Linked DNA regions of Arabidopsis thaliana. The main gene of each other region encodes a partner of the protein of the gene in region 3 in a complex. Each region holds a gene or a part of one and is shown on either strand. Other genes may lie near its edges.

The links.
Region 1: ATU2AF65A (region 3) and RS31a share a complex: the UniProt entries of both Arabidopsis thaliana proteins name them as parts of the spliceosome.
Region 2: ATU2AF65A (region 3) and U2B'' share a complex: the UniProt entries of both Arabidopsis thaliana proteins name them as parts of the spliceosome.
Region 4: ATU2AF65A (region 3) and RSZ22a share a complex: the UniProt entries of both Arabidopsis thaliana proteins name them as parts of the spliceosome.

The regions. Positions count from the first base shown.
Region 1 is NC_003071.7:19,135,807-19,141,098, reverse strand, and holds RS31a (RNA-binding (RRM/RBD/RNP motifs) family protein), read left to right. Parts: upstream 1-2,336; 5' UTR 2,337-2,458; intron 2,459-2,584; 5' UTR 2,585-2,606; coding exon 2,607-2,712; exon of another isoform or gene 2,713-3,240; coding exon of another isoform or gene 3,241-3,268; exon of another isoform or gene 3,269-3,371; coding exon of another isoform or gene 3,372-3,417; coding exon 3,418-3,530; intron 3,531-3,608; coding exon 3,609-3,844; intron 3,845-3,938; coding exon 3,939-4,205; intron 4,206-4,299; coding exon 4,300-4,330; 3' UTR 4,331-4,533; downstream 4,534-5,292. Other genes in the region: AT2G46620 (P-loop containing nucleoside triphosphate hydrolases superfamily protein), read left to right, coding at 553-2,028; AT2G46600 (Calcium-binding EF-hand family protein), read right to left, coding at 4,622-5,029. UniProt on the Arabidopsis thaliana protein: Probably involved in intron recognition and spliceosome assembly.
Region 2 is NC_003071.7:12,904,845-12,909,689, forward strand, and holds U2B'' (U2 small nuclear ribonucleoprotein B), read right to left. Parts: upstream 2,822-4,845; 5' UTR 2,591-2,821; coding exon 2,518-2,590; intron 2,179-2,517; coding exon 2,006-2,178; intron 1,406-2,005; coding exon 1,312-1,405; intron 1,199-1,311; coding exon 1,110-1,198; coding exon of another isoform or gene 1,050-1,109; exon of another isoform or gene 983-1,049; coding exon 713-982; 3' UTR 501-712; downstream 1-500. Other genes in the region: WRKY25 (WRKY DNA-binding protein 25), read right to left, coding at 9-245; AT2G30270 (LURP-one-like protein (DUF567)), read right to left, coding at 3,183-3,308, 3,601-3,801, 3,992-4,213. UniProt on the Arabidopsis thaliana protein: Involved in nuclear pre-mRNA splicing.
Region 3 is NC_003075.7:17,292,934-17,299,673, forward strand, and holds ATU2AF65A (U2 snRNP auxilliary factor, large subunit, splicing factor), read right to left. Parts: upstream 4,796-6,740; 5' UTR 4,677-4,795; coding exon 4,563-4,676; intron 4,382-4,562; coding exon 4,095-4,381; intron 3,996-4,094; coding exon 3,897-3,995; intron 3,801-3,896; coding exon 3,727-3,800; intron 3,294-3,726; coding exon 3,217-3,293; intron 3,145-3,216; coding exon 3,097-3,144; intron 3,012-3,096; coding exon 2,952-3,011; intron 2,859-2,951; coding exon 2,798-2,858; intron 2,713-2,797; coding exon 2,600-2,712; intron 2,480-2,599; coding exon 2,033-2,479; intron 1,907-2,032; coding exon 1,771-1,906; coding exon of another isoform or gene 1,498-1,770; coding exon 1,430-1,497; intron 1,344-1,429; coding exon 1,206-1,343; 3' UTR 1,014-1,205; downstream 1-1,013. Other genes in the region: AT4G36680 (Tetratricopeptide repeat (TPR)-like superfamily protein), read right to left, coding at 1-784; AT4G36700 (RmlC-like cupins superfamily protein), read right to left, coding at 5,510-6,493, 6,650-6,730. UniProt on the Arabidopsis thaliana protein: Necessary for the splicing of pre-mRNA.
Region 4 is NC_003071.7:10,447,612-10,452,019, reverse strand, and holds RSZ22a (RNA recognition motif and CCHC-type zinc finger domains containing protein), read right to left. Parts: upstream 2,390-4,408; 5' UTR 2,317-2,389; intron 2,195-2,316; 5' UTR 2,184-2,194; coding exon 2,095-2,183; intron 2,006-2,094; coding exon 1,917-2,005; intron 1,822-1,916; coding exon 1,572-1,821; intron 1,480-1,571; coding exon 1,354-1,479; intron 1,197-1,353; coding exon 1,160-1,196; 3' UTR 836-1,159; downstream 1-835. UniProt on the Arabidopsis thaliana protein: Probably involved in intron recognition and spliceosome assembly.

The DNA.
Region 1 (5,292 bases), on a different chromosome or scaffold from region 3:
GTAAATGCTTTATTAATTACTATTTATCTAAAATTAGTAAATATATAATTTTTTAGAATTTTTTTCAGCCAAAGTATCAAAAAAATCTCTATAAATCTAATGAATATTTTATCTTCTTCTAATAATAATATTTTTTGCCATGTGGATTATTAGCTTTAAAAGAAAATCTTCCAAATCAGCAATCAAAGAACTTGTCAAACAACTAAATCGCCGTTACCTAGATTTATAAAAATCACCCCTTTGATTGCTGAGTGACCTCGTCCCCGTCACGCCTTTTTTCTTAAAGAATAATTTAAGAAAAAAATAATAATATCTCGTCGTCCTTTTAGGCTTTCTCCGATTGTTCTTAATATTCCTCCAAACTTTCTCTCAATCTCCGTCAAAATAATCACTCTCTCTTTGTTTTTTCTCACAATTCTCCGAACATGCGTTTGCTTTCTTTATTCTCTAATAAACCTAGTAAACTCTTCTTCTTCGTTACTACTATATAATATAGCGGAGAGTTTTGGAACCAGAGAGAGGTTTTACGTTTTTCTTATTTTATTTCTCTCCATGGGGATTCTTTGGGATTCGTTTCTCTTGTTACTTGTGTCAACGTTTGCTCTGTTCTTAGTTAGGATCCTGTTATTCAAAACTGGATTGATTTACATGGTCAAGTTATGGCGTAGGAAGATCATCGACTGGTTTCATGTTTACCAATTCTACAAAGTCCCAGAATTCAACGACAACGTTCAAGAGAATCATCTCTACCAAAAAGTCTACATGTATCTAAATTCCTTAAGCTCGATCGAGAATTCTGATTTCACGAACCTCTTCACCGGGAAAAAGTCCAACGAAATCATCCTCCGGTTAGATCGGAACCAAGTCGTTGGCGACGAGTTTCTCGGCGCTAGAGTTTGTTGGATTAACGGAGAAGACGAAGATGGAGCGAGGAATTTCGTTTTGAAGATTCGTAAAGCTGACAAACGGAGAATTCTCGGTTCTTATCTCCAGCATATACATACAGTATCTGATGAGCTTGAACAGAGGAACACAGAGCTTAAGCTTTTCATCAACGTCGGAATCGATGATCATCTGAATAAGAAGAAGAAGAAGAACGGACGGTGGAGATCGATTCCGTTTGATCATCCTTGTACCTTCGACAACATCGCCATGGAAACGGATCTGAAGAACAAAGTCAAATCTGATCTCGAATCTTTCCTCAAAGGTAAACAGTATTATAATCGTCTGGGCCGTGTTTGGAAACGGAGTTATCTCTTATACGGACCTTCCGGTACCGGAAAATCAAGCTTCGTCGCAGCAATGGCGAATTTCTTAGATTACGATGTTTACGATATAGATCTCTCCAAAGTAGTTGATGATTCAGATCTTAAGATGCTTCTGTTACAAACCAGAGGCAAATCAGTGATCGTGATCGAAGATCTAGATCGACACCTCTCGACGAAATCAACGGCTGTGAATTTATCTGGGATTTTGAATTTCACTGATAGTATTCTCAGCTCTTGCACCGCCGATGAACGGATCATGGTGTTTACGATGACTGGGAAAGAACAAATTGACCCGGCTATGCTTCGACCGGGTCGGGTCGACGTACACATTCATTTTCCCTTATGTGATTTCACGGCGTTTAAAACGCTCGCTAATAACTACTTAGGTGTTAAAGAGCACAAGCTTTTCTCTCAAGTTGAAGGAATATTTCAAAACGGTGCGTCTTTGAGTCCCGCCGAGATCGGAGAGTTGATGATCGCGAATCGTAACTCGCCGACTCGTGCATTGAAGCATGTCATCAATGCTTTGCAGACTGATGGTGATCGGAGAGGAACTGGACGACGTTTGCTTTTAGAAAATGGTTCGAGAAAGTCGACGTCGGAGGATGTTTCTGATGATATGAGTGGTTCGCTTTGCGGCGGTGGCGGAGGAAGTTCGCCGGCGGTGAAGGAGTTTAGGAAGTTGTATGGGTTGTTGAGAATTAAAAGTAGTAGAAAATCTGGATCGTTCGATGTGGCTCGAGAGATGAGGGACGGCTAGTGATTAAAAAGTTTTTAAAAGTCAGCAGCCACGTGGGTTGGTTTTATTGGTTGAGAGAGAGTCTGGACAAAAAGCGTAGACTAGAGAAAGTTGTTACTCTGTTTTTATTGTTTTTGGGTTTTAGTTGATGTACAGAAGTTTATAAGATTTTGCTTTTGAGTCCCCAAAGTATGAGATTCTGAGTTTTGAGCACTTTGTAATTGAACATTTTGGGCCGGTTGTAAAACAAAAGCCCATAGCGTTAAGCGGATTAATAATTTTAACGGAATGACAAATATGCCCTTCATGGTAACAGCGTCAATAACACGCTTTTCGGTTCATCATTATAAGATTTTGTGTCATTAATACGAAGCTCCGTCTTCTTCGCCGAGCGTCGTCGTCGTCTTCTAGGGTTTATCTTTCTCGTCGTCGTCTCTTCAGATTCTTCAAGGTAAATTGAATATCTCCCTCAGAAGATGAAGATTTATCGAATCATCAAAGATACTTTGCGAGCTCTTCGAGTATAAATGTTCTGATCTTTGTTGTCTTTGTTTATGTTGATCACAATTGGTGTTAGGAATTCGATTGCTTTTGCAAGAATGAGACATGTGTACGTTGGGAATTTCGACTATGATACTCGCCATTCGGATCTTGAAAGATTGTTCAGCAAGTTCGGGAGAGTGAAGCGAGTTGATATGAAGTCTGGTAAAACGTTTTCTTGCACTTGTACTCCTTATGGCGATCAATCTGCTGTGTTGTAGTCTCTGTTTGATTCTGGAATTTGAGAGCTTCTCAGGCATTATTGATTGATACTTTTTCTACTGAAGCATGAATTAGTGTTAAGAGTGTGGAGAGAATTCAAAAGGAACCATGACTGGGGTTGTGTTTAAGAGAGGGATTCTCGTATGTAAGTGTTTGTTTGGTCGCAGGAGCTTTCTCTAAAGGAGCATGACTGTGTTTCCTCTTTTCATGGGATTGCCAATTTCTTCCTGCAAATAGATTCCTACATTTTCTCATGCCTACCGTTATGATGTTGTGCCCACAATCTTCGCTGAGCCTACAATCTATTGCCTTGTTTCTTCACGCCTTTCATGTCAGAATGGTGAAGCAAGGCTTAGCAACCATTCAGAATTGAACAGAAATTTGGATTTTATTACCTTTTCATAGGCTACATTCTACAACTGCACATCTACATCTTTATTTACTACTCTACATCGAACGCCTCTACTTCTTATGTACACCAGCCTTCACATTGATGCAGGTGTTGTATATTTATTTAGTTTTTGTCTTTCTCTAGGTGAAAAGGTGTCTTCTAATCGACTAACTCCTGCATTGCAATTTCTGTGGGCTGAAACAGTTTGTCAATGTATATGCTCGCTCTTCTTATCTTGAGTTTTTGTTTTCTTGCAGGTTATGCTTTTGTGTATTTTGAGGATGAGCGCGATGCTGAAGATGCAATCCGTAGGACTGACAATACCACTTTTGGATATGGGCGACGCAAGTTATCAGTTGAATGGGCCAAGGTATCTTTTTCTTCTTTTTAAAAATTAATCTTATGCTCTGATATTTTCAGAGAGCTCTAAGTTTCTTTTGGCTTTCAGGACTTTCAGGGTGAACGTGGGAAGCCTCGTGATGGAAAGGCAGTCTCGAATCAGAGGCCTACAAAGACACTCTTTGTCATCAACTTTGACCCTATTCGCACAAGAGAGCGTGATATGGAGAGACACTTTGAGCCATATGGTAAAGTTCTCAATGTTCGCATGAGGCGCAATTTTGCTTTTGTTCAATTCGCAACCCAGGAAGATGCAACCAAGGCTCTTGATTCTACACACAACAGGTAACAACAAACCTGCTTAGTTAGTACCTATTTATCTGACATGTAGTGATTGATCGAGTGGTAATCCCTTACATTGATTATCCTCTCTTGGCAGCAAATTACTGGATAAGGTTGTTTCTGTTGAGTATGCCTTGAGGGAGGCTGGTGAAAGAGAAGATAGATATGCTGGCAGTCGAAGAAGGAGATCTCCTAGCCCAGTGTATCGGAGGCGTCCTAGTCCTGATTATACCCGTCGTCGCAGTCCTGAATATGACAGGTACAAGGGTCCTGCTCCTTATGAAAGACGTAAGAGTCCAGATTATGGGCGTCGCAGTTCAGACTATGGTAGAGCAAGAGCTAGGAGTCCGGGCTATGACAGAAGGTAACAGTACTTGGCTTCTGAATGGTCAATATCCTTATATATAGTGTTATGTGCTACTCTAATTGTCTGATTTTTCTTTTCTATTTTTTAACAGCCGGTCCCCGATTCAAAGAGCAAGAGGTTGAAGATGTTGTTGGGCGATGGATTTTTAGAATGTATGGGCATGGTACAAAAACAAGTTCTTAGTACTGAGTCTTTACCGCTTATGACTTGAACCGTATGTGCTTTGCACTCTATGTGGTGTAGAAAGTATTAGTAGCTTATAATGGCAATGATCTCTTTTGGAATTGGAATAGTTTCAAGGCAATCCATTCAGTTTTTCAGGATCAAGAAATCATTACTTCATTTTATATTCAGAAACATTTATAGGTTTTGTAGAAGTAAAAAGAGAATACACAAGAAAGGAGGACGATCATTCAAGGCATAGAAGAGAGATTGTGATTACATAGTTCTTGGGTGAGTGCTTTCTCCAACCAAGTTTCGGCGTCTTCCATCATCTCAGGGCTTAACCGAACCATGAGAACGCAGAATTCGGTTTGGTTAAGAGCACCATCTCCATCGAGGTCTCCTTCTCTAACCATTCCTTGAGCATCTTCCTTGCTCATACCTTCAATTCCAAGTATCCCTGAGTTTCGTCTTAGAGACTCAGCTGTGATGAGATGTCTCTCTGGATCCGCAAGCAAACTGAAACCTTTGCATAACTCTGATACAAACTCTTCAACATCCATCTTCTCCGCCATAACTGGTAACATATCTTCGTATTTGGTCTCCATCTTCGTGGTACTAGTAGTTTCTAGTAACATAGATTTCTCGGTTGGTTCCATTAGAGGAAGACAATGGAAGAGAGAGAAGAGATTTTGGTGAACTCTTTTGATTAGTTCCAAAGGGATATATAAGTGAGTGGCGTATCTGTACCGATGTGTTTGTCACGTTCGTGTGGCCTAAAACTCTCTCTTGAATCGCAGCCGTTGGATTCTGAAAGTTGAAATAATGAACGGCTGATATTCATTCCAAGATAAAATGCGATTTCGTGAGTAGGGAGGGAAGCAGCTGATTATTAGGTGGTTTCGTGGAAAGTTCGAATGGG
Region 2 (4,845 bases), on a different chromosome or scaffold from region 3:
TTTATTACGTGTGAGGAGCTGAGAAGCAGAGGAGAATCAAGGTAATCGGAGAAAGTGAAGTTATGAGAAGATTGTGAAATCGGAAGAGGTGGTGGTTGAGCCGTCTTGAACTTAGGTAAACCAGACCCGGTTCTCTCTGGATAGTACCCACCAAAACTCGACCCAGAAACTCTCAAGTCTTCATCATCTTCGTAACAGTCAACGCCGGAAGAACCAAGAAGGTCGGTGAAAGAAGTGGAAGACATGATGGTCTTTAATAAAGGAGACAACTTTAAGATTTCTAAAACAGAGGATTCGCTAAAAAAGGAAACTTTTTTATGAAATTGATCTTGAAATGAAAAAGAGGATAAAACTAAAAAAGAACAGAGGCTTTTAGATTGGGTTAAAGACGACGACGGTGGCGTATTGAGCAAGGTTTTTTTTGTTTCTCTCTCTTCTTGTCTTTTTCTACTTTGGCCTAAATATCATTTTTGATTTTAATATTTCTATAAAATGGTTGACCAGTAAGATATTCTTTTTTGATGAGTCGTCTCCTAATTTGTGATAAATCGTCAAGTGTGAAACCGCGTTTCAAGGGTCTCTTTCAATGATTAAACCAAAACCGGATTAATCCGTTAACCAATAGAACCGTTGGTTGGTTATACACACCAGGTTTGGTTGGTCCAGTACTATCGTCTTAAAGGACAACAAACAAACAAAAACAAGACTCTTATCATTTCTTGGCGAAAGAGATGACCATTGGATTCTGGGGAGTGATTTTGAAACCTTGAAGAGGTTGCATAGCTATGGAAGCTTGAACATCATCTTCGTACTCTACAAACGCGATTCCTGGTTTTGCGTCGATCATTCTTATCTCTTTGAATCCAGGGTACTGTTCGAAGAGAAGCTGTAGCATCATGCTTGTTGTCTCGTGTGGGAGATTCTGAATGAAGAGTATGTTGTTTGGTGGCATTGTTTCTTGCCCGCTCGGCTGGAACGAAGGCTGCATTAAGAAGAGCAGAGATAAAACGCAAAACATCAGCATCATCTCCAGATAACAATAGTTTGGTTCACATGATCCAACAATGGAAGATTTTTCTGAAGATGAAGGTGAGAACAAGAACACTTACCGCAGGGACTCCGTTATTGGCACTTGGACCATTAGCACTTGGGCCATTAGCCGTGTTTGGTCGTTGGGAATCTTCACGCTTTCTTTCAACTGAAAGTAAGAAAGGAAGTTTGTTAACTTTAGATGCAAGTGAAAATTTTATAGTTGTATCATTGAACCAACATCTACGACAAAATGCAAAAAGAAGAAATAAAGTTTAAAACCTTTTTCTTCTTGCTTCCTCTTCTTATCTTTTGGAACGAAAGTTCCCTCAGCTTTAGCTAGACAATCTGACTTTGCTTTTGCATATTGTAAGCGCTGCACTTAAAAGATCACATAAAAAGTATGAATAATAATAAATCTCAACCTGATTGGAAGTAGTTGAATAGTTTACAAACAATCGAAAGAGGTAAGATTTAGTTATAAAAACAATGTATATATCAAACAGAACAAACATTTTGACAACAGAAATCATAAGAGAATGTGATTTGAGAAGGTCAGCAACAAAATCCAAACACACATATAACTAAATGTTGATTGAGAATAACACAGTCAAAGGTAATCATTGGTAATCACATAAACACACTAAGGATTTCTGCTTTTACCGCATCAATCAATCTATACAACACACAGAATATCACTTCCAGGGAAATTATACAGAGATTGATATACTCAAGACAGAAAAGGTAGTGGATACTAATCATTGGTTACTCATCAACAGCAACAAAATCTAAACACATATATGACTACCAATGGATTGGGAATAGAAAAAGGTCAAAGGTTCCAAAACAAATTGTTAGTAATCAATTACACAAACACACTAACGATTTGCTTCTATCGATCTATACAACACATAGAAGATCACTTTCATGGAAACTATAAAGAGATTGATATACTCAAGAGTGATGAAATACTGACCATTGGTTTATCATAGAAGGGAAAATTTTGCATCTGACGAACAGCATGACCAGCAGCAGTGACTTCACTAAAAGTAACCCAAGCTTGTCCTCGGAGCTTCGGAGTCTTCAAAGCAACCACATCAAGTATCCTCCCAAACTGAGAGAACAAACAGTAAAGAGATCTCTTCAATTCTGAGAAAACAAAAACCAAGTCAGATAAAGCATGAGATTGATGATACTGCCCTGAGCCAACACTACTTCACACGTCTATAACAATTATCCATACAATGGCGAAAACAGACAACACCAACATATATATCTTCCTTATAACCTTGTCACTAGATTCAATACGATTCTGAAACCCTAGTATTTAGAAACGAACACTCTATATAAGCTAAAAACAAGCAAAAACCCTAACATTCAGTACTGTAGAAGCTTGAATCATTGGTACAGGAAGTTCATGGAGGTTTCAACATCTAAGAATTTGGAAATTTACTTGACGAATTAGATTAAACGAGAAGAGAAGTTTACCCTCTTTCTTGATCCTTTCGTTGAGGTTTTGGATGTAGATTGATTGATTCGGTGGTATATCTGCCGTTAACATCTTCGAGTGAGCTCGTGAAGACGATGAAGATTCTCGAGACTGAGGAATTTAGAGAGAGCCCTAATGGTGGGAACTGGGAATGAGAGAGACGAAGAAGAGTAAAAGAAATAGCTGCGTTTCAACATCAGACTATTTAACGACGCCGTTTAGTTTGTTGGTTCGATTTCCTAAACTTTTGTACCAACGTGAATGAGCCGACCGGATGGACCGGATTTGAATTTGACCGGCTAGACAGAATTGAACCGGAAATAGAATGAGTGGTCGGGATTGGACTTTTATAGACTCGAGATCAATTTTTTTATTGCAAAATTCCAACAAAAGTCTTGTGAATCATTTTGATTCAAATGTTCAACAACTTTTTAAAATAATGTAAATGATGTTGTATTTTTCCAGCTGAGCTTGCAAATTTGTTCTGAAAAAAGATTTAACCTTAGACCTTAGTATATCTCAATATTCATGTGATAGATAATACAATTCACGTGTGAGCCGATTGAATCAAAAGGCATTAAAAATGCAATGTACTAAAATGCCTTTTTGTTTCTGTGTTACATTTTTCTTTACACTGAGAAAATAAATCGAGGATGTTTCACTTTCATCCTTGAAGAAATATGGCAACCATTGCGACTACTAGTGAATGATCGATGGATCCAGGAAATATCGTTAACCGGAACTTGCTTCTCCCTACGTAAATCTGTCTCAGCTTGTACATCAAACTCGTCTGCCACCACATTTAAAGGAACATAAATCAGATTGAGGCAAATGTTCAAACACAACAACAACAACAAAAATCTTTAAAACAAGTGTATTAGAATCCAAGCAAATTTTACAAGCCTAATGAATCCGACTTCAAATGAACGAAACAAAGGGTTGGTTGTTTATCCATCAGCAAGCATGATCCAAACGATGAGTTTTGAACCCGGTAATCAAAACCAGTATAACACGGTATTGACTCTTGTCTAGCTATAGAATGTTCAATAGTGCTGTAATTGGGAGAAGATGAGTATCTTTACCTGTGCAACAATGGAATCTTGACTATAAATGGTACAAGATTTCTGAAAGGGAACACCTTTGATAACAAGATTTTCGGACGATTCTCCAGCAAAAGAGACCTCTGACTCTGTCTTACTGAATCTTTTCGATGTCCGCTTCACCGTTAGAACCAAATCCTTACGCTTTTCCACATCTCCTTTATGTAATTCCCACACTCCATTCTACATTCCAATACATATACAAAGATCTGTAAGTGTTCTTATGATATATCTCAAGCCAGTGACTAACTAACAAAACCCAAACAATCAAAAAGTATAAACATCGTGTGGACTATGTAATGAATAATGAGATTTAAACAAGTAGCGATGAGAATTGCCAAAATCGATGAAATTTGGGACGAAGGAGGCTTACGTGGAGACGAGAGATGGAGAAGAGAGGAACTCCGGAGGAATCAAGGAGAGATTTCAAGGAGGAAGAAGATTTGCGGAGGATGAAGACGAGATGTTCGGAAGAATCGGCAAATCCGAGATCGCCGGAGGAAAGTCCGGGAAGCTTTTTGGAAGCGAAGAGATCGACTGGTATACGCCGGAGATCCTCAGGGTCGGGGTGATACGGAGTCTCGGAATCAGCCATTTACATAGTCTCTAATAACAGTCAGAAGCGTAAGGTAGAAGAAGAACAAGAGAAGCAGCTTATATTCAACGCCAATGTTTTTTTTTGTTCTAATGATGTCGGATCAGATTTTTTTTTTTGCGGCGAAACATTCTTCTTACACCAAAAAATAATTCAGATGAATAAAATTAAGCAAGTAAATAATTGGATGTAGAAGCCAAAGATAATAAAATAGTAATGATAATTTTCTTTTACGTTCTTGAGATACCAATTCTTGTTTTTTTTTTCACACAAAACTGAAATGCAAAAAAAAAAACTAAAAAGTAATAACACATTTTTTTGATGTTTGATCTTGATTAATAAATTAATAGAAAATGGTAAATGTGTTACTTACATTAGGTTGGAAAAACGTATGGTTTAACATATGTGTTTGTTGGAAAAGATACATTTTTAGTGAACATACCTTTGACATGAATTGATTTATAAAGGTTTTTTTTTTTGCATTTCCATCCCTCTCAAATGTTTGTTTTAAAAAAACTAAGAATTATGTATAATCTTTCAAAATGTATTGATTTTATTTTTTTTTTATGTTTTCTGTAGAATATATATATGATGATCTACTCTGTTCAAAACATCACCCTTACATGCATTTC
Region 3 (6,740 bases):
CTCTTTCAGGGCTTTCCTTTTGAGCACTCATTATACGAACATTATACGCTGCATTATCCAATTCACAGCCTTTCTTCACCATCTCATTCCACAAGTTATCAGCTACCTCGAGCTCACCTTTCTTATACAATGAACTCAAAATGGTGGTGAAAGCAATGGTAGTAACTTCCATGCCTTTACCTTGCATCTGTCTCATAATCTCAATGGCTTTTTCAGGGGTACCAGAGTCACAGTATGACTTAATCAATATACCGTAAGAGATTTTGTCAGGGATGATCTTATTGTACCTCTGAGGAATTTCGTCGAACAGTTGGGGGACTTTATCGAAATTCTTGGAATGGAGACAAGCGTTGAGCAAGGCGTTGAAGGAAACAGCTGATCTGGGTGTGCCGTATTGATCCATCTGCTCGAAGGTTCTCATGGCGTGATTAAACATAGAGGCTTGGCCGTAAGATCTGATAAGCGTAGAGTAGAAAGGTTCTTCTTTGATTTTGGGATCATTTTTGTGGGATTCAATTAGGGTTTCGATGTCTGAGAAACGGCGACACTTGGCGAGGCGACGAACAGTGAGCTCTTGGGCGTAGCGAGATGAAACAGGAGAGGCTGAGTGATCGGAGACATTGGCGTAGATCTTAAGAGCTTTGTCGGGATCGTGTTCTTTCCGGAGAGTGGACTTAGCTTTGGAGACAGAGATTTTGCCTGAAGAGGGAGCGGTGGTCGTACCGTCAGCGGCGGCTGAGGCAAATCGGCGAACAAGGCGGAGAGAAATACGAGAAGAAGCCATTTTGCAGAAATGGGTATTGTGGAGAGTGGTGGCGAGAAAAGGAGACGCCTTTAGGGTTTTAGTGGCTTAACAGAGATTTTTGGGTTTTACAAGTTTGCTTCTTTTTCTTTCTTTTTTCTTCTATCAGAAGAGAACCAAACTACTTGAATATTTCAATAGAGAGAGTACTCAACTTCTTGTGTTGATTTAGAACATATGTCACATTTACGAGAGACGAATGATGTTTTACGAGGGACTCATGATGTTATTCTGTGAATAATTTTTGAGATAAATATTTAAGAAATAGACCAAAGATATGAGATAAAAACGTTATAATAAGCAACGTGTCGATAATCTCATACTCTTACAATCACGCAAAAGGGTCTTGAAACTGAAGCAAAGTACTTAACTTTTAAGTAATAGAAAGCAAACAAAGAAGTGATCAGGCTCCATAATCACCCTGTTCAAACTTGTCTTCAGGGTAATACACTGCAACGACTTCATTTCCTCCAAATTTCCTACCATTCATCCCGAATCTTGCCCTAGTCGAGCCATCTGTATCGGCATACTTCAAAAACACCTGCACATTAAATATATCAGACAGTCAGATTACGACTAAATAGAAATATACAAGAAGTAGAGAGAAAGAGAGAGAGATAAGTTTACCTTGCCAAGGCCTGCCACTGGCTCACCATTGGGGCTTGGACGCGGAATCACAACATTGGTCAAAGCACCTGCATTTTAAGAGTTAAAGAACAAAACATTTCGAATACAAGACAAGAAAACACAGACAAAAACAAGTCAGTTTTTTCTTTTAAGAAATAGTGGCCATTGGTGATAAATAGATTAGGAGGTTTATGCAGTCTCCTGTCTGTGTATGTTAGGGCTGATTCTTTATAGCAAAAGGCTGTAAAACAGCACAACCAAGAAAACAGAGAGACAGATCAATATGCTTTTAATCTTATATTTCAAAATAGACCATATTGCGCAATTAAGAGGTCTCTTACCAAACTTTCCGCCTTCCTGTCTCATGTCTTCCATTATATCTCCATACTCCTCATCATCTCTAAGCTCATCCTCAGTAACAACTTGAGTCAGACACACCACAGTGGTTGCCACTGCACCAGGCTGTAACATAACCCTCTGCAAAAGATAAAACCATCAATCAGTCTTTTAATCTTATAAATGGAAATATTCAAGTTAGGTCTCAACACGTTTTGCAAGCTCATTTTGTTTTCTTCCAATATTATTAAGAAGAAAAAAAATTACCTGAAAAGCTATTTGCTGCTGTGCATGCAATAATACGTTCTCTTGTTCAGGCTTTTGTAGCATTGTTCCCTGGTTGGCACGTCTCACTGTAAGAGTCTTATCTCCCATCTTGATACCATTTAGGGCAGCGCACGCGATATCTGTAACAGAAAGATCTTGGTACACACAAAAGGCATATCCTTTAGAGTTCCCTGTTTCTCGATCTTTTACAAGATCAAAGCCCTTGAGGCCTCCAAAGGACTCCAACAACTCCCTCACTTGTGATTCCGTGAAGTAATATGGAAGTCCACCAACAAAAATACGATCTGGTCCCTCAAGCCCACCAGAAGCACCTGGAGTCAGACCAACAGCAGCTAAGTTTAGATGGGGACTGGGCTGGCTTGGACCAAGAGTCGCAGCTAGAGATGGGTTATAGTCACTAGGTCTCCTCACCTTCACCGGAGCTCCCTGGAAAAGAAAAAAAGAAAAAGAAAGATAAGCATTCAGTTGGGTAACCTATATACCAAAGAAATGCCAGTACTAAAACTCAACCAAATATTTGGTAGTGCGGTAAACATTAAAACATACCTCAAATATAATCCCATCCAAAGACATAGCGTTACTTGCCTCTTCAACAGATCGCATCTCCACAAAAGCAAACTTCTTCTCGTGGTTTATGTAGACATTAACAACTGCATCACCTGCGAGTAAGAAAAAAGATTTATAAAAAAAGATTAATCCAAGTATCATAATAGACACTCTAGCATCTGCACCAGGATTATGTACCTGGACCAGCAGTGTTTCCACCAACAGCAGCCATAACTTGACTAAAAAATGTAGCCACAGACTGCAAATACAAAATAATAAATCAATGTTAGTATCATTATTTGCTGAAACATATTTCAGTGGGAGAAAATGAAAAAAGAAAGTGGATAATAACCTGTTCATTTGCCGTAGGGGAAAGCCCACCGACATAGACTCTGCGAGCATGTCTAGTTGCCTGAAGACACAAAGTAAATAAGGATTAAATTAGAACAGAGAAATACATAGTATCTTGCGTATATCCATGATAAATAAAATCTAACCTGCTGTGTCATAGCCTGAATTGGCATCATAGAGAGTCCCCCAAATGACTGTAGGACATAGACGACTTAGTTCAAGAAAGACATCAATTAAGAAAATATTAAAAGGGAAAGACCACAGACCTGTCCAGTCGGCAATGGAAACATGTTGGGAAACATTCCAGCCCCAGGAAGAGTTGGTGGAGCGGGAGGAACTTGGCCTACAAAAGAAAAACAGGTTAATACATAAGAAAATTACATATGAGAAAACCTAGTTTACCATCCCTGGAAATGTATTGGTGACATCAAGAGGTTTAAGTCTGCATGGAAAATTTTTGCAAGACTAACAAAACCAGTGATATGTACTGAGGATGAGCAATACCCATACGCAGTAATTCTTCCTTGTATATAAGAGCTAACCAGCCCACACCCAGTGTTGCCTTACCAAAACAGAAAAGCAAACAAGAGACACAAAGACCACCAAACAACCAAAAGCTCTCAGTTCTAGCGTTATGTCCCAAGTAAAAAAAGAAAGAAAACAGCCTATGTTTTTGTAGTTATTCAGGAGAAACAGATTTTATCAATCCCAGTACGTGTATTAGGTATGAATTCTACATTATGCTAATGAGAAGGTGCTAAATTAAAGAGATATACCTGTAACAGCAGCACCAGCAGCTAACATTGCAGAGGCTGGAGGTGCCATATCGAATCCACTGACTCGCTGCTTACTGCAACAACATATATTGAGTGAGGTTAGAAACTTTCTTAGATTGAAGCAATTACTTCATAGAAGAGTAAGTAATCCAATGAGAAAAAAATGCTACCTTTTCGATGGAGATCGTGACCTTGTTCTGCGCTCAGATCTATCCTTTGAACGAGATCGAGATCGACGACTGCGTCTTCCTCCTCTATCATCTCTCCGCCTAGAAGAATAAAAAATAAGCCAAATCAGTACCTTCCATAAAATCAAAAAGGATTCAATCTAAATTGAAAATGTATAATTCAATTCAAGAACAGTCTACCTATCATGGTCACGATCACGGCTTCGACGGTAATCATCATCATCCCTACCACCACGTTCTCTTCTTTCACCACGCTCCCTGCTATGATCCCTGTGACGACTACTTCTGTGATGACGCTCACGATGATCTCTGTCTTTGTCTCTACTCCTCTCCTTGCTTTTCTCTCCATCTCTATCCCTGCTTCGGCGAGAGACTTCAGAGTCTCTTTCTCTGTCCTTATCACGACCCTTCTCTCTTTCTCTATCTTTACTTCTTGATGTCTCTCTTTCATGGTCACGCGATTCTCTCTGCACATGTAAACACACCCAAAACCTCATCAATTACAGTTTAAGAATCAATGAAACAGAAGCAGCTTTAAAACTAATCATCTCATAATTCGATTCTCAATTCAATCCAATTGCTAGGAAATATAGATTCGAAACTCCAACTATAAGCTAGGAGATTGAAGATAATCAGGGGGGAAATTACCTTGGGTTTCGAGTCCAATTGATCCTCGATTTCGCCGTCGCGGCCACCATTCTCTTCGTCGTAAATCGCGTCAGCAACCGTACCGTTTCCCTCGTGATCTTCGAATTCAGACATCTTTTCGCCGGAATCAACGCTCTCTATCTCTTTCTCACCGGAGATAAATTTAGAATCTGTTTCAGCCGTCGAGATTCGAAGAAAGGGGTGGATGCAGAAACCAAACTATTTTAGGGCAATTACGGATTATTCTATTTTTTTATAGCCAACACGGGACCTCCTGTGAGGGTATTTTTGTAAATGTCATATAAAAACAGGCCGGTCCAAATCTGATAAGGCCCATTATTCAGCGCATCCGGTCCAATAGTTGGCCCAATTCGTGTTTGGGATAAATCTACTTTTTGAGAGTTTTATGAATTTGCCTTTTCAAGATATGGCCCAATCTGTGTTTGAGATAAATTTGCCTTTTATTCCAATATCTCTTGCAACAACAAGAGAACAGAGCATGGGAAGTTGATTGCATTATCTACGACTCCTCCGTTATCACCATTCAAAACTTTAATATGCCGAAGCTATAGCAAGAGGGTTACAAATACATTATACAATTGTAAACCAAATGACATAAGTTAGCAAGTACGACTACTACTACAAGTGTATAATAAACCACAGAGTTATCAATAACAAGAAGTAACGTCGTCACTCAACAGTCTCTCGGAAATATTTACTTATTTCTCATTTACCATCTACAAAGATTTAAACAAAACAAAACATTATACAAACACAATACAACTTTAAACATGGCAACAACAAAAACAATGCAAAAGTACATTAACAAATAAACAAGACTATGGAAAAAAAAAGTTACAAGAGAGGTCAGAACCAAAGTTCTAACCACTAACAACAAACCAAACACACTCTTGACGTACGTTGGCCTTCTCTTTTACTCCTCCGGCTTAACTCTCCTCTTCACCTTCCATTTCCCATTCTTTCTCCATCGGTAGTTGCCGTTCCCTAAGTTCTTCTTCTTGTGGTGGTTGTTGAGGTGGCCACCGCTTCTTCTCTTCTTCTTCTTCACGTTTCCTCCTCTCTTCCTCTTCTCTCTTCGCCTCTTCTTCTTCTTTCTTCCTTTCATCATGTCTCCTCTTCCTCTCATCATCTATTTTCTTCCTCTCTATCTCCACCTTAAGCTTCTCTATCTCTCCTTCCGCACAAGAATGACATTCCAAGATAACAGCTTCCTTCTGAGCTCCCAACAATCCATCAATCGTCACACTACTCACATTAAGCGATGCAGCCAATACTTGCCGGTCAAGCATCCGCAAAGCCGAGTCCTCCCCGGCTAAGAACTGCGGCTCGTTATTCTTAGCTGAAGTAGTAAACCCAACGAACACTAACGAGTCATTGTTGAAAGACATTTGAGCCATTGGATGTAACCGTGGAACTGCGAAAATATCTCCTTCCTCTACTTTAAACCTCACGTTCTTACACTCTGATGATGTGTTTGATGATATCGAAGACCTAAGAACCCTAACCATTCCTGCTCCTTTCAATACAATCGAAATCTCGCAAGCCCATGGATTCCAGTGCGGTCCCATCATCGATCCTTGAGTGAGATTCACCATGGAAACTCCAACCATTGAGCCTTTTAAAACTTTCAGATCCTTCCTGTTAATCGTTATAGTACGACCGTAGGGGCTCTCGAAATCCGGTTCAGATTCGAAAACATTGAATGTCTTCGCTTTCTTCACCTTCTCCTTCTTCTCTTTCTTCTCTTTCTTCTTCTTGTTATCCACCAAGTCTGCACTTCCAGCAAAGAGCTTTAGTAATCGCGGTTGGAGCTGCCAAGTGTTGGCCACACCTGGTGTGCAAAGCGTCTCACTCACGATCAATGGTGGCTTCGTACGGTTCCTCATCAGCTCTATAATCCCCTCAGGAACCTAATTAAAACCATTGAATTTAATATATCACTTAATACAACCCAAAATATCCTCTACTAGAGTAAGTTGGGAAGTAAGATATACACAATTCCTATCTTGCTTCCCAAGTAAGATATAGACAATTCGTAACTTATTCATCGGCAGATTAAGACATACCCCAAAAGCTGACTGGAGAATTGTCTCATCAAAACCAAACATTAGATCTGTGATACTCGAATAGGCACCAAAGCAAGGATCCTGCATCCAT
Region 4 (4,408 bases), on a different chromosome or scaffold from region 3:
TGATTATGATGATAAGTAAAACATATGACAACAAAGTTTTGCTAAATATAAAAAGTGAACAAACTCATGAAGTTGGATATCTGTAAATTATTTTTCATAAAAAATAAGTATTTTCAGGACACAACAAAACAGGACAAAGATAAGAAACTTATGAAAATCTACTCCTTTTACTAGGGTTTTAAACCAAAGCATCATCAGAAGAGGAGGCAGCCAAAAAGCCTTCAATAAAGACAGAATGATCCTTGAATCAAACATGATGAAATTGAAACCAATGAGCAGAAAAATCTCTCGTTTAAAGATTAGTCCATGTACCAAACGTGATGAAACCAAAGGAATGACTATTGCAGATGGCGATAAGTGTTTATCCAAGTGCCCACCTCAAACAAAGCAGAGACGTTCTACATACTCTAAACTATTCTACACCGTAAGACAAGTTTCTTCGAAGCCTGCCTGAAAGGTATTAAATACCTGCCAGAGTAGCAAGTGCAACTCCTCGGCCATTTTAAGTTCAAGAAAAGCAAGACCAGCAATCATCAGAGCCGATGAAGTTTTCAAACATAAGAGCATCTAGATGAGAAGCAGAGTAGATGTGAACTAACATAAAGATCCCAAAGCAGGCCGATCAAAATAACCAAGAAGCCAGAAGCAGTTAAGCAATGAAGCAGAAGTAGTGGTAAACAATTATGAAGATCCCAAAGTAGGCAGATCAAAATAACGAAGAAGCGAGAAGCAGATAAGCAATGAAGCAGAAGTTGTGGTAAACTACTATGAAGATCCCATAGCAGGCCGACCAAATTAACCAAGAAGCCAAAAGCAGATAAGCAATGAAGCAGTAGAAACCTGAAGAAACCTCGAGATGATAGAACAAAAAACAAAGAAAATGCATAGGTTTTTAGCAGAGCTTTTGTTTATGTCTTTTAAGAACATGGGTAGATATTTAAAAGTACTTTACCTAACGGCAGATACAACTATGGCTTCATAATCCAAACGCAATAAGAAGCTTTCCAGCAATTCAAAAGTAGCAAGCATATCCAATCCACCACACAGCTAAAACATATTCTCTTAGTGAAATTCACAGATACTAATTTCCTCTCCTCTTGACGTCACAAGCAAATAGTTGTCTCCTGATCCCATAATTTGCTATCTAGACAAGTAACACTCAGCTCCGGCTTCTGCGCACATCTTTCAGACCATTTCTGCATAAACAAATACAAAAACTTATCAGCCACATGGACTCTGTTTTTTAACACAACGTCTAACAAAAAAGTCTTTGGGACGATAATGCCACTAGTTCAGTTTCAATTTCTTATATTGATTGAGATACAGTAGACTCAAGAGCAAGGGGAGTTTTACCCATTAGCATATGGCACCTCGTCACGTGCTCTATAAGGTGGTGGTGACCTACTGTAGTTGCGACCACGAGGAGAAGGACTACGACGTCTTGGAGGAGGAGGAGATCTAGCACGAGGGCTGTAACTTCTGTGAAACCAAAAGACAAGGTAATAAATCAATGAGGTAGACCAATTTCTTTTAGTTGCAAATCGTCAATCAGAAAGAATAGGGACAATAACCTTCGTCCTCCATAGGTAGGACTCTTTCTGTATCTAGGAGGACTGCGACTACGGCTGCGGCTACGACGCCTACCACCAGAACCACCACGAGAACGACATTCACGTGCAAAGTGACCAGACTCACCACACTCATAGCACTTCAAATCAGAACCACCACGTCCACGACCACCATCACCTCCTCCACGACCACCACCACGACCTCCACCACCACCACGGTTATGAGACTGCTCTACCCTCCATCCATTCTTGCCTACCATAACAATATAGATCATATATATATCAAACTCATAACAACTCATAACAACTCATAAAACCAGACCAGTAGAATAGAAGACCAACGAATACCATCTACTTCACGGATGGCGTCACGGGCATCTCTTGAATCTTCAAAATCAAGAAAAGCGTAACCAGGAGGTCTTCTAGCAACCCAGACACTGCACAGACACCAAAAGAACAATGAGGATAAATGCAAATTCACACACTTTACATCAACTAAAAACCAAAAAGGAGTCAATTTATGTACCTCCTGATCACACCAAAGGAACGAAACTCATCCTCGAGTTCACGTTCAGTAACTCGCGGATCCAAATTACCAACATACACACGCGACATCCTCAAGTTACCTATCAACAAAAGGCTTCAATTCAAAAACTTTGAAAGCGATGAATTCAAAAAGATGAAATCTATAGATCGAAACTACGAATGAATCTGGAGTAAAGAAGTGACAACGGAGATCGGGATTTACCTGAAGAAACGGCTTTGGCTCTTTCTCTTGCTCGTCTGTGAGAAATTAGGGTTATCGATTCGAAATTGAAGATGAAAGTTATTTTTTGTGGGTCAACTTTAAATGTCCTTCAAAAGTTATTCCTTGATTTGGGCTTAAAATGGGCCGCATGCGATATGGTACAGTAACAATAATGCCTCATATTCATGCAATTACTGATTATAAAATTAAAATGTCAGATGTTAAATAATAATAATTCAAAATTAAAAAAAAGCTCTCAGCATATAAAAGGAATTCAAAAAAAAAATGAGTATCACTCTTAAGTATTTATACGATTTTCAAAAAAAGTTGATAAAACTTACCGAAAATACAAAAAAAAAAGAAATTGAAATCTACATAAATCCCCAAAAACTACAACACAACACAAGGAGAAAACACTAAGAAAACACAAGCGAAAACTTCACAAGTAGAGATCCTGAGAAAAACACTGTTTCTAAACCCCAAATTGAAATCTCGTCGTAAATTCAAATTTTAATTAAAAAATATAAAGAAAGCTCTTTTCTATGTCCACTGAATATTTTATGTAAATGAAGAAAGCTCTTTTTATGCTCATACTTTTATGTATATACTAACCCATACATCTCAGATGATGAGGATGAGAGAGGAAAATAAAACTTAAGAGGGAGACTATTTGACCCAAAAAAAAAAAAAAAAAAAAAGAGAGAGACTATTACCTCTAGTTTTTGAACTAAGTGAAGAAAACTATTTCGTTCAAATTTTTATTTATAATAATAATTCACTCATTAAGCATCACAAATTAGACAATAGATGCATCAGCCTATTTGTAGGCCTAACCAATCCTCTACTTTATTCATCGGAATCGATCACTAGATATATAGTCGATAGGCAAACAAAGATATAACCATAAAAACCAATTTTGACACTATTATTTATTTGCGTAATGCTAGTAGGTGTGTACAAATGAACATAATTATGACCATGACAACGGCATGGTAACCACTCATGCCTCGAAGTTCACCTTCTGCTACCAACATATTTCCATCACATCATCCTAGCATTATTAAAGAGGCTAAGATACAACCTTTTAGCTCTTCTAATGCTAATAATCCTAGCATCATCCTAGCATTATTAACTGAGTGCATCTTTAGCTCTTCTAATGCTTTTTCTAGAGAAGAAATGGTTTGAATCACCCTTATTTTACTAATAACATATTTGGGTTTAAGATGAGTTTCTAACTTAAAACCAATTGGCAATGAAACTAATCATTTATAAGTATATTACTTGATAATTTTTCTAATTTTCGAGTGTAACTTTCTCTCATTAACAACTAACCATTCGATTATTTTAAGAACTTTGGTTTTGATACGGTTCAGTTTGGTCAGTTATTAAAATTATTGGGTTTTTTTGCCCATGCCTATATCTCCCAAAATCACAATATTCAAATAAAAACTTTTACCACTTGAACCATGGTTCTAGTTTAGAATGGTTTGTTTGGAAAAGACAATAGAGGCTAAATCGTAATTTTGTGCTTTATCACTTATGAGTTTCACTTTTAAATCAGTCACTTAACAAAAACCGGACGTGACAATATATTATGTCCAGATATTAATTTGGGATTAGCCTATAACATCCAATCATTCCCAAGAGCAATGATATAATTTTGTAGTTTTTTATTTACTATTTAGTGCGCACCTTTCTTGAACCAAGACTCCATTCAGTGACAGGATTAGATAAGTATGTGTGTATTATTGAAATGTCGTCGAGAGTCCACTTGAAGTTTGAACTATGACGACAAGAATTATTCCTTTTCTCTTCTTTCTATTCAGATGGAGAGAAGCTCACCTCAAGATTTTTAAAACGGCACTCAATTACGACTTATTTTGAGAAATAATTAATAAAATTTATAAATTATTACGTGCTCTATTTTATAATTTTTCTCTTTTTTATAGGTTTTAAGACATGAAACACTGCTTCTATGTTTTTTTTTTGGTAATCAACACTGCTTCTATGTTTGGTGAAGACATCTTGCAAATGACATTACATAAATCATAGAAATTAGTTTCGATGTTATTCTAATTAAATCCTAAAATAT